3 linked regions of the Tribolium castaneum genome follow. The main gene of each other region encodes a partner of the protein of the gene in region 2 in a complex. Links are inferred from orthologs where the notes say so. Each region holds a gene or a part of one and is shown on either strand. Other genes may lie near its edges.

What was found.
Region 1: the proteins of tho2 (region 2) and Hpr1 are in contact, whole or in part, in a cryo-EM structure (PDB 7ZNL), measured with the Homo sapiens proteins. The link is inferred for Tribolium castaneum from reciprocal best matches to the Homo sapiens genes THOC2 and THOC1. Residues at the interface, in NP_001075019.1 of Homo sapiens: Leu155, Phe156, Tyr157, Lys158, Gln160, Asn163, Leu164, Leu165, Arg166, Asn169, Glu170, Ala173, Lys174, Ile176, Ala177, Gly180, Gln181, Asn195, Lys197, Ser198, Leu199, Ile200, Gly201, Cys202, Phe203, Asn204, Leu205, Pro207, Asn208, Arg209; in NP_005122.2 of Homo sapiens: Asn134, Arg138, Asn141, Leu144, Arg145, Lys149, Thr153, Cys156, Gly157, Gln160, Leu161, Ala164, Arg165, Phe167, Gln242, Phe245, Arg246, Tyr297, Ala299, Lys300, Phe301, Arg319, His320, Leu323, Gln324, Ile327, Tyr331, Arg373, Phe374, Lys376.
Region 3: tho2 (region 2) and thoc7 share a complex: the UniProt entries of both Homo sapiens proteins name them as parts of the transcription/export (TREX) complex. The link is inferred for Tribolium castaneum from reciprocal best matches to the Homo sapiens genes THOC2 and THOC7.

What each region holds. Positions count from the first base shown.
Region 1 is NC_087399.1:4,612,734-4,616,894, forward strand, and holds Hpr1 (THO complex subunit 1), read right to left. Parts: upstream 2,929-4,161; 5' UTR 2,827-2,928; coding exon 2,788-2,826; intron 2,741-2,787; coding exon 2,069-2,740; intron 2,023-2,068; coding exon 1,799-2,022; intron 1,751-1,798; coding exon 736-1,750; coding exon of another isoform or gene 614-735; 3' UTR 588-613; downstream 1-587. Other genes in the region: rRNA N6-adenosine-methyltransferase ZCCHC4, read left to right, coding at 4-288, 334-568, 614-739. UniProt on the Homo sapiens protein: Component of the THO subcomplex of the TREX complex which is thought to couple mRNA transcription, processing and nuclear export, and which specifically associates with spliced mRNA and not with unspliced pre-mRNA.
Region 2 is NC_087402.1:8,538,596-8,541,767, forward strand, and holds the end of tho2 (THO complex subunit 2), read right to left. Parts: exon of another isoform or gene 3,032-3,172; intron 1,446-3,031; exon of another isoform or gene 1,314-1,445; coding exon 1,158-1,313; intron 1,109-1,157; coding exon 1,051-1,108; intron 1,005-1,050; coding exon 931-1,004; intron 883-930; coding exon 821-882; intron 694-820; coding exon 663-693; 3' UTR 547-662; downstream 1-546. Other genes in the region: zinc finger protein 264, read left to right, coding at 1-248. UniProt on the Homo sapiens protein: Component of the THO subcomplex of the TREX complex which is thought to couple mRNA transcription, processing and nuclear export, and which specifically associates with spliced mRNA and not with unspliced pre-mRNA.
Region 3 is NC_087397.1:9,556,667-9,559,612, forward strand, and holds thoc7 (THO complex subunit 7 homolog), read left to right. Parts: upstream 1-1,340; 5' UTR 1,341-1,461; coding exon 1,462-1,498; intron 1,499-1,551; coding exon 1,552-2,165; 3' UTR 2,166-2,286; downstream 2,287-2,946. Other genes in the region: alpha-ketoglutarate-dependent dioxygenase alkB homolog 6, read right to left, coding at 2,287-2,934. UniProt on the Homo sapiens protein: Component of the THO subcomplex of the TREX complex which is thought to couple mRNA transcription, processing and nuclear export, and which specifically associates with spliced mRNA and not with unspliced pre-mRNA.

The sequences.
Region 1 (4,161 bases), on a different chromosome or scaffold from region 2:
CAGCGATCTCGTACTGATTTTAGACCCACCTTTCGGGGGTCGGGTCGAGCCCTTAGCCCACACAATCAAACAAATCAGCGAAAAATACAATCAACTGAATGAAAAAACAAAATTGTCGGTATTTTGGGTATTCCCCTACTTTATGGAACCGCAAATACTAAACAGCCTCCCCGACTATTCCATGCTCGATTATAAAGTCGACTATGACAACCATCCTTTGTTTCAAGACGGCGCTAAGGCGCGGAAATTTGGGTCACCCGTCCGAATTTTCACGAACGTGGACCCGAGGTAAGCCGACGATTTTTACGAACTTTTCGGGACAAAAAATTGTAGTAAAATAGTCCTTCCGGCGAATGAAGGCTACAAATTTTGCCAAGAGTGCAACAAATGGGTTTCAAACGAAAACAAACACTGCCCCATTTGCCAGAAATGCACCTCGAAAGACGGCCGGACGTACACCCACTGTCCCATGTGTGCAAGGTGCGTTAAACCGAGTTGGCAGCACTGCGAAAAATGTGGTCGGTGCTGCCAACCGGACCACAAATGCGGCGACTTGGTCTTTACTCAGGTCAGTCTCAAACTCCCAATTCAAGGTTTAATAATTTTATTAAAGGATTGTTTCCACTGTAAACAACCGGGGCACAAAAAACGGGACTGTCCCAAGGTTGATCACAAACAATTACATATGAAACGCAAATTGAAAAGTAAAAATAGGGCGAAACGAGTTAAATACAGTTAGGAATCCATCGAATTGATTTCATTTCGGACAATTTCCGCCGCCTCCTCCATCTCCAACCCTTCCAAAATGTACAAGAAGTTGTCCAAAGTGGCATCTTCGTCGTCATCGAACCACAGTTGTAGCATATTACGGGCCTGGTCCACCTCTTTCTCATTTTCCATACTGAAGAACTGGATTTCGTCAGTTTTGAAGCCCAACTTGCTGGCTAGTTTTTTCCAATTGGGGGCCACTTTCTCGCTGAAGAGTTGCAACTGGTTCGGGTTTAATTTATGCTCGACTCGCGCGTTCTTATCGTCCATAAATTCCTCCGTTTCGGACGGTTTGATGTCTTCGGTGTTTTCATCAACTTGCGTGTCCTTAAACAAATTTTCTTCCTCGGCGTCGTTTTGTTGCGACTCTTGCGAATTTTCGGTCACGCGACCTGGCTTATCATGCGCTATTTTCTTGACCATCATCTCCAAATACGAAGACAGGGGGTTCATAATCACAGTACTGTAGGTGAAAAAGTGGGGGCTGCGCTTAGCCAAGAGTCTCAAAGCCCGCCACCCGTAATTCCCATCTTTCAGTAAATTGTCTTCGTCTTTGACTGCGCCAGGTGACTCGATTTGGGCGATGGCATCGGCGAAATAATCCTCAAGTGTGGGGAGAAAATCGCGCTCTCGGCCTTTACAAGCCTCCAAGTTATCGGGGCATAGGTTCCACAGTTTGGTCAGTTCGGTGCTTCCCATGTAGTATTTGCCCTCACTGGAGGCCTGTTTAATGATGTCGCCTAAGAGAGGGCGCTCTTCGGTTCGGCGCTTGTCGGGGCTTTCCGTGGGAACCACCGATTTTTTCAGTTCGGGACAACCGTCGTTCTTCCAAGCGTTCCAATACTCCTCCCGACTTAGAATATTTGAGGCGATTTCGGCAAATCGTTTACCGTCTGGAGGAGTCTCGCGTAACAAACTGTAGACTTTTTCGGTGCTTGATTGGATCCACTCTTTTTGGTCCGACTTTAACTCGAAACTTTCGCTAAAAAAATAAATTAAAGGTGCGTCTAGTTTAAAGAAACCGACTCACGATTTAAATTTTACGGATGATGAAAGGTACTGGAATAAAATTAAAAACTGCAACAGGACGGCGCGCCGAAAATTGACGTCGTACAGTTGCAAGTCGAGCAATTTTTGGCTCGTCAGGTACTTGGAAAAGTACATTTTATTTTTACTTTCGTCACAATAGCTCCCGTTATTTTCCACGTGTTCAAGCTTGAGGCCTTGGAACGTGTTAAAGACACTCGTGGCGTACTAAAAAAAATAATAAAAATCGGTTAAAATGCGCAAAAATAATTACGGTGCAAAACAGTTTCCATTGCACTTTAGTGTACAACTGGTTGGGGTTCCGGAAAAAATCCTGGAGCGACCAAAACTTGCAATAAAACGTGAAATCGATCACGTTTTTCTTTTCGTCGCCGTCAACGTCGCCCCCCTTTTCCTGGCTCGAGTCCGTGCCATACTCTGTCGTGTTTTCCAAATTAAATTCGCTCACAATATTCAAACCTGAACGTTCAGAAAACGGGAAAAACTTGGCCAAAAAGAGGAGAATTCGGCCGCAAAAAACGGTCGCCGTGGACCGAGATAACCGCCTCAATAAGTCGTTACACAACCTGAGTAAATTATTTTTGCAACAACTGAAAAACAAGTTCTCTTTCCACACTTCGACATTGTTCTCTACGTAGAGGAACATTTCCTGACAGGCGTCCAGCGTTAAGGCGTCAAAAATGTCCGAAAGGAGCATCACTGGCATTGTGGGGTTGCTCAGTTCCTTGCGACATGTTAGGACGCTAAAATCGACCAACTCGCGTAAGACTGAGACGTTGACTTCCTTTTCAAGGAGTTCGAGTAAGACGTCGCGGAACGCCTGGTCCAGAGGGGCCTTAAGGTCGATGGCGGACTTCGACAAGTGTTTGGCTTTAGTTTCGATCAAATCGGTGGTTTTGGTCTTGAAAGATTTGCGTAAAACGTCCTAAAAACCGGGTTAGAAGTGGCGTTTGAGGTTATGTCGGGGCCCACCTGGTATTCGACCCGTAACGACTCGAATTTGCCCCCCATTGCTTAAATGCAACGCTTGGAGGGCCCCCAACGTGAAAAACGCTCAATTTCGTGTGAAATACTTGAATAAGCGACCGGAATCGTCTTGTAAACAACTGTCAAAGGTCAAAAATAATGTTAGAGTCCGCGAAATGACAGATCGTCCACGGTGGTAGGAGTGCGCAGATACGAAAACTCGTCTCGGACGAGTCCAATCTTTAAATTAGGGGTGTTGGCAGAAAACAGTGGCGTGGCGTGTACTTACATGTGTAGGGAATTCGTCTTAAAGTTTAACATTTCAATATTACCAGTTATAGTAAAGATACCAGTAGAAACATTTTTTGCAATAAACGCGTTTTTACTCTTTACTCATTGTGTATTTTTATTTATTCGACCTCTCTGCTTTGTATTTCTAGGAAATCAACGTGTATTAGCATTAGATATGATTTTTACTATTTCATCTTGCAATTATTGAATAGAGGAAATTTTAACTACTACAAATTATGAATCTCAAACCCTTCTTGATCATAGAATGGTTTTTTGCTACGCCACTGCTCAATCTCCTCACTCGATGAAGTACGCATTGGCTCCGCCTATCGTGGTCGTTTACAGAGTTTCCGAGCTCTACCACTAATTTTCGCACTAAAATTTCACATTGCCAGTTTCTGTTTAAATATAAACATGCATTTTTATTTTTCCATTAACTGCATGCGAAACTTTTATAATTTTAGACGTTTATAGACAAATACATTTGTCATAATTAATTTTTCTAGATCAATACTGTTCTATTTTGAATAATTCTGTGTATGAATGTTTCTAAATTTGACGGATTTGGACAGTGAATGTTTCTGGTTATGACCTGTTTTAGACGTGTGATGACGTCACATCCGAGGTTAGGTGTGCGGCGCAGGCGGCGAGGGCGGTTCAGTCGACAGCGAGCAGTGGTACGGGTCAGATCGGGAGCGGGAGCGGGAGGCGAGGCGAAGCGAGGTGAGTCGGTTTATTTAAATTATTGTGTATTGTGCGGTTTCGTTCAATTTATTCAGTTTGTTACTTGCCGTTGTCGCGAACGGACGTGTGTTCAAGCAAATCTAAATTTTCCGGTTTAAATTTTCAATTCGGTGGCTAGTGATCGCGTTTGAGTGACACATTTTAAATACAGTAAATAAAATTATAATCAAACACTCAAATAATTAATTGCCACGTAATAATTTTGTCTTTAATTTCAATGAATGAAAGTGGCTTGCTCAAAATTTAATGCAAATAAACATTTTTTTGGTTTCAATATTATTATTATTTTTTTTTAATGCTACAAACGGTAGCCAACGTGGAAGCGATATGAAGGTAGGTGTATTT
Region 2 (3,172 bases):
AGTACCAGTGCAAATACTGCTCGAAAAAATTCGGGTGGCCAACTGACTTAAAACGCCATATCTTGATACATACGGGCGAAAGGCCCTTCAAATGCCAATGTTGTGATTCCACGTTTACCAGAAATTTTCTACTTAAAAAGCACCAAAGAAAGTGTCATGGGCCAGGTGATATTCCCGACTTGAAGCCGATCAAGTCCAGGAAGCAGGAGAAGAGTAAGATTAAGAGAGTTATGGCGGAGGATATGTAACAAGTATTCACTTCGTTCTTTATTTAAGACTTAAGATTTGCTCCAACTTTTTGTTATACCAAAGATATCTTCTTATGATTATTGTGATTTTTATGCTTGTATTTTAGTGTGTACCAATATCGTGTGCCTAATCCTAGTCAAACAGGGCCAAAATAGTACTTAATAGATATATAAATATTTATAATGACGTCGAATATTGTACAATTTTTTCATATTTTTATCAAATAAAGTGCCTCACAAAAATTCGTTTTTATTGAATAGGAATAAGGACGGATTAAAAGGTGGATTTACAATAAAATACCACATTACCATGTTTATTCTCATATTCTACAGATCACATCAGTAACGTACAATCCATGTGTAATACACTTAAAGTTACTAAAAATAAAATTAAATCGCCATCCGCAAAAATTATCATCTCCTTTTATTTTCGGCACTTCTTCTGGTAAACCTCATTAAGGAAAAATCTTTAAAACCACATGAAATGAAACAGTCGAAAGTAAAGAAATTTAATAATGAAATTTACAATGTAACAATGAGAAATGGGCTAAAATTGTCTATAAAAAGGATATTGTTTTTCCCTCATTTCGAGTCGGTCATCGTGCGACCTCTCTCGTGGATATGGTGACAAGTCCTGTGGTAAAAACATGAATAAAAAATTCTAGAAAAAATTAGTGATTACTCTCGAGCGATGATGTTTTTCTCTTTGGTGGACGGGTTCCATGATTTCTCCATTTTGGTGTGAAAGTTTCGCCGCTGTTGAAACGAAATTAAGTAATAATTAACACGAAGTAATAACTACCTTTTTCTTCTTCTCTTCGCCTCTTCATTTCAACTTGGAGCGCTTCTTCGGTCCGATCCTGTCGAATTTGAACAACATTAAAAAGTCTTTAAATTCGCTGTCGTTACCCTTTTCCTTCCCAACTTCCGTTCTTTCCTCAACTCTTTTTCCTCGTCGCTCAACTTTTCCCTCTTCTCTTTCGCTTTGCCCGACCTTTCTTTTTTGTCCGTTTTCTCTAACATGTAATCGAGTTGTTGTAGTTTCCTCTCTTCGTGTTTCGAACTCTGCAGACAACCAGGGGTACTGCATTAGACGTGCGGGTTGAGACAGTGTTGCACAATAGCAGCCTCCGCTGGCGCTTGCTTTGTACTAGCTGTCAACTCGACTTGCTTTTTGGCACAACACCAATTAAATCTCTATAGTTTTATAACAGGTAAGTGATGGTCATTAGCGTGCATCGGATTTTGCTTTTTCTTGAATTACATTCGTCTAAATAATTCCATCTTCCGCTGGCTCACAAAAAAGTCACGCAGTTTCAGGGCATTCGGATTTACTACAATAAATTAACTTATTTTCCCAACTACGACATCTTCCACATTCTCTTCGTTTCCTTAGCTCCTTCCAGCCGTCGAGCCATTTTAATTACAACAAATTTCGGTGAACGTCCTTCCATTTCTTGCCCTAACGTTTTAAATGGCACACACACGCGTTAGCGGTAAGTAATTAGGAAAAAAACATTAGTTTATTGCTAGCAATCAAATACCGAAACCTGTGACCCCTTCATGGTTGCAAATCAAGACGCGTAAAATATAAACTTAACAAATAGAAAGAAATAATCAAATATGTCCCATAATATCATGTAGTAATAGAACTATAAAACATCATAAACATCAGTATAAGAAATGAAATGAAAAATACGAAATAACAACTAGCGTAGTAGATATAAAAAACACATTACAAATTTTATTTATACGCACAAAGTCAAGAGATAGATAAATGTAAAATATTTGCTCAAAATAATTCCGCTCACATAACTATAAAATAAAAATAGTGAATAAAGACGAATTTTATCCACGAAAAGGCTTTTGAGTGGATAAAGTTTCTTCATTCACGTGTATTATACAATATTTTTTCCAATTCCTATTAATAAAATGCTCATTTAATACATAAAGAGTTATTTAATCCCAGTAAAATTTTTATTTCATTGTGAATACAAAGTAAATGGCAATTAGTCCTGAATCAAATTTTAATTCGCGAATATAAATCTTATTAAAAAAACAAGTTTCATCAAAGGAATGAATAAAAATAAATCAAAAGATTGAATAAATTATTTGTTCATTTTATTCGTCCTCTTGATTAAACTATTATTTCAATAATAAACTTTAACATAAAACAAGCATTTTATTAATCGAGCTTGGAAAAGGAAACTTTACCACAAAAGTTTTCTTAAAATAGAAAAGTGATTGATAAAAATTGTCATGTTTTTTATTTGTGTTTAGACCAGTCTGGGAAAAAGAATAACAAAAATAGCCGGGAAGTAACATTTGCAATTGTTTTTTTCAAATTATGTAGTTTCACAAGGGTGGAGAAACACATTCTATACATACTCGTAATAAGCAAATGGATATTTCTACACTGTAAGTTACACTCCTCTATACATAATAGAATATCATTTTATGCATTCGACACTTCAAAAAAACATGAAGTCGGATTTATTGGACCGTGTTATTGAATACTCATTAAGGAATGCAAAAAAAAGTTCCTTACAAACGCAACCAAGTTCTTTAATATTTTAACAAAAAGTTTCGTCTAACAACAACAATAAAGACATGCATTTATATCTTATGAAACAGAAAAAATAATCCATAACATCTAAAATAATTCGGCATGACAAAACCAAAACGGAAGCAATTTCAGTACAAATAAAATTATTTAAGGAATGTAATTCAATAAAAAGAGCTGCACGTCACCGGAGAAACTCCGTACTTAATCCGGAACCTACCTGTAACTGGCTCCCATCCCAAAATTATTAACAAAATGGAAGATTGGGCTGATTGCAGACTGTCCCTTACACAAGTGTCACTTTTTGCCACTTTTACATAAGTGAATCTTCATGCACCTTCGCTTGCGTCTTCTTCACAGC
Region 3 (2,946 bases), on a different chromosome or scaffold from region 2:
CGGACACGCGGTCTTCTCCTGAATCGTTTAAATCCGATGAGTAATTGGAGATTCGTCGACAAAATAAGAAAAAAGTGAACTTTGAACTGCTAAGATCATAATTTTCGACGGATTTTTGAAAATATGATTACGGGATTTAATTTATTGATAACTAAAGTATCCACGTTTATTAAAAATGTGATTTAAATAATGAATCAAGTAGTAATAAAATAATAATAAACAAGGAAAGTACACCGTTATCAGTCATGTTTACTTTGGTGTACTTTACCCTTTATTAATTTTTTCTCATTAGACACGTGAAATCACCTAGAGTAAATATAATCATCAGGTGATCATTCCGTTAGTACCTGTACCGATAGAAACCAGATATTAAATATCTTGCAATGCTTCAAGTTTGATATAATTGATAAAATATAAATAAAACAATATTTTAAAGCTTAATTAAATATGAAACTACGAGTTACGTGTCTAAAAAGTAAAAACTATTTAGACTGTTTATTGTAAGATTTACCGAAAATTCATCTTATTTTTTTGTTTTGAATTTAAATTGTGATGACCTTTCTAGACCTTTCTGTTTTTTGTCAAATGCACATCGCGTATGAAATACTCTAATAGCGATAAAAAATTTTGAAATATGTCTATCCAAAATAATAATAAATAAATTACCCAAATAACAAACATCATTAAAATTGAAATTAGAAACTTTTTGCTTTTTTGTGAAAACAGAAAATAGCACAAGAAATAACTTGTGGTAGCAAAAACTGGAGCAGATTCACTTAAAATGTAAAAATCTTTAATACATAGTTTATTTTTTGTTGAATTTTTTGAGGTATTATTGTGTTTACAAAAACGGCCAAAAAATAGCTTGCGGGAGCAAAAAATTGCACAAAAAAAGCTTTCAGGAGCAAAAACAACTCAAAACAAATAGGTTGCGACAAAAAAAATGCACAAAAAATTGCTTACAGGAGCAAAAAACGACACAAAAATTTGCTTTTTTGTATTTCCGGGACTAAAGTTGGTACTTTAGAAGCTTAAAGTTCGAGGGCTGTCGTTATGCAACGAGCGTATGCGAGACACCTAGACACCTGAGAACTTTAAGCGTTTTTGCATAAATTATTATTCAAAATTTTTTGTTTTTGTTTAAATTTAAAACACGTTGCTATGGAAAGCGTGTTTTAAAATAGTGAAAACATTCGTAGCCGATGACAAAATCACCAAAATACGTATTATTTAATAAAATAAATTATAGTCATATTTTTAAATGATTTACGCTTTATAAGCTTTTGTTATATGCAACCATTAAAACACTTATCTCAACATGTCCTCTAATTGCTATTTCTAGTAATTTTTGGTTTAGACTTTCGATGCAACTGTTGGCAAGTGCCAACATTTGACAATTTGTGTCATAACCTCAAAAAATACAAATTTTTCGGCGTCCACAGTGCAAACAAATCCGCCTTAATGAAACAAAAGGACAAACGTGGTACCATGTCGGATGGTAAATACTTCCCTTATAAAATTACTAGTGTGTCCAAACAGTAAAACTTCTAGAGGACATTATCAAAAGAAAGTTACTCATAGACGGTGACGGAACCGGCGACGATCGCAGGCTCAACGTAATAGCAAAAACTCTTCGAAAATGGGCAAATTCCACCGAAGACTCCCCCTTAGAGAACCAAGCAACCCACGACAAACTACTAGCACAATTAAGCCTTTGTGAATACTCAGTCAGGAGATCCCAACTCCTCACAAGAACCACATCGCGTCAGCTTGAAAACTACAAAAAAATTTACGACAAATTTGAACAGCAAATCAGCGAAGTAAAAGACTCAATCAAACAAAACAAAGACAACTTAGTACAAGCCAAAATATGGAAACAAAACCACATGATGTACGATTTGTTGGCACAAAGTATTGCCGAACAGCCAGCACGCAAGGAAACAAACGAACGCCTTTCGAACTTACAAGCGGAACTGAAAGAGTTGCACAAGGAAAAGGAGCTGCTGGAGCAGAAACTGGACATGAGGAGAAAACAATTTCACGTGCTGGTGTCCAGCGCCAGCAAATTACAAGCAATGTTGGAGGAGTCAAACGAATATTGCCATAACGACAGTCTACTTGAGGATGTGGCGGACAGCACAGGCCCTGAACCCATGTCTGAATAATTTAAGTTGGTAAAAGTGACAATTACCACGGTTACTTAATTTATGTTAGAAAATCTGACAGTTACCATGGTTACATGTCATCAGCTATGTTATTTTAGGCGAATAAAAGCAAGTACAAAAATTATTTGAATAGTTTTATTTTAAGCACCTTAGTCACATTTCTAATGGTTAGAGAAACTCTCGTGTCTCTTTTGACTTTATCGCCAATGGCGTATTGTTTCTCACAATTTAGTAAATTTGCACAGCCTTCATCAATAACATCAGTTTCAATTTCTCTAATGGAATGGAGGTATTTAGCGTACATGTCGTCTTTAATTACAACTAGACTACACCTTTCGAGAAGTAATTGGCAAACTTTAGCACGACTTTCGTTATTTTCTAAAAACTCTAATACTGTATGAGAGCCACACGAAATGGTGGCAATAGTGGGATAAAACAGTGGCCCATCAGTGTGTGGCATTATGCCTTGGCCGGGAAGATATTCGTTGATTAATACTTGATTCGGTTTGTTTCCCTCAAAAACGTTCAATTGAGCGACTTTTTCCATGTATTTCGTCAACCAGTTTGGTATTGCTTCCGGAATCATGCCTTTCTCGTGGGGCACGCCCCCGTAGTCTTGCAGTCTTCGTTTGGACAAACACGTCCACTTTGGTTTGGGCACTGAATACACATTTTTCAAAATGTGGGCCTCCTCTTCAGGTGTTACAAAATTTGGAATGTAGTAGACAGTCGGAGGGGCTTGTAACACTTGAAAACTGCTCAGATCCATCGAACACACAAC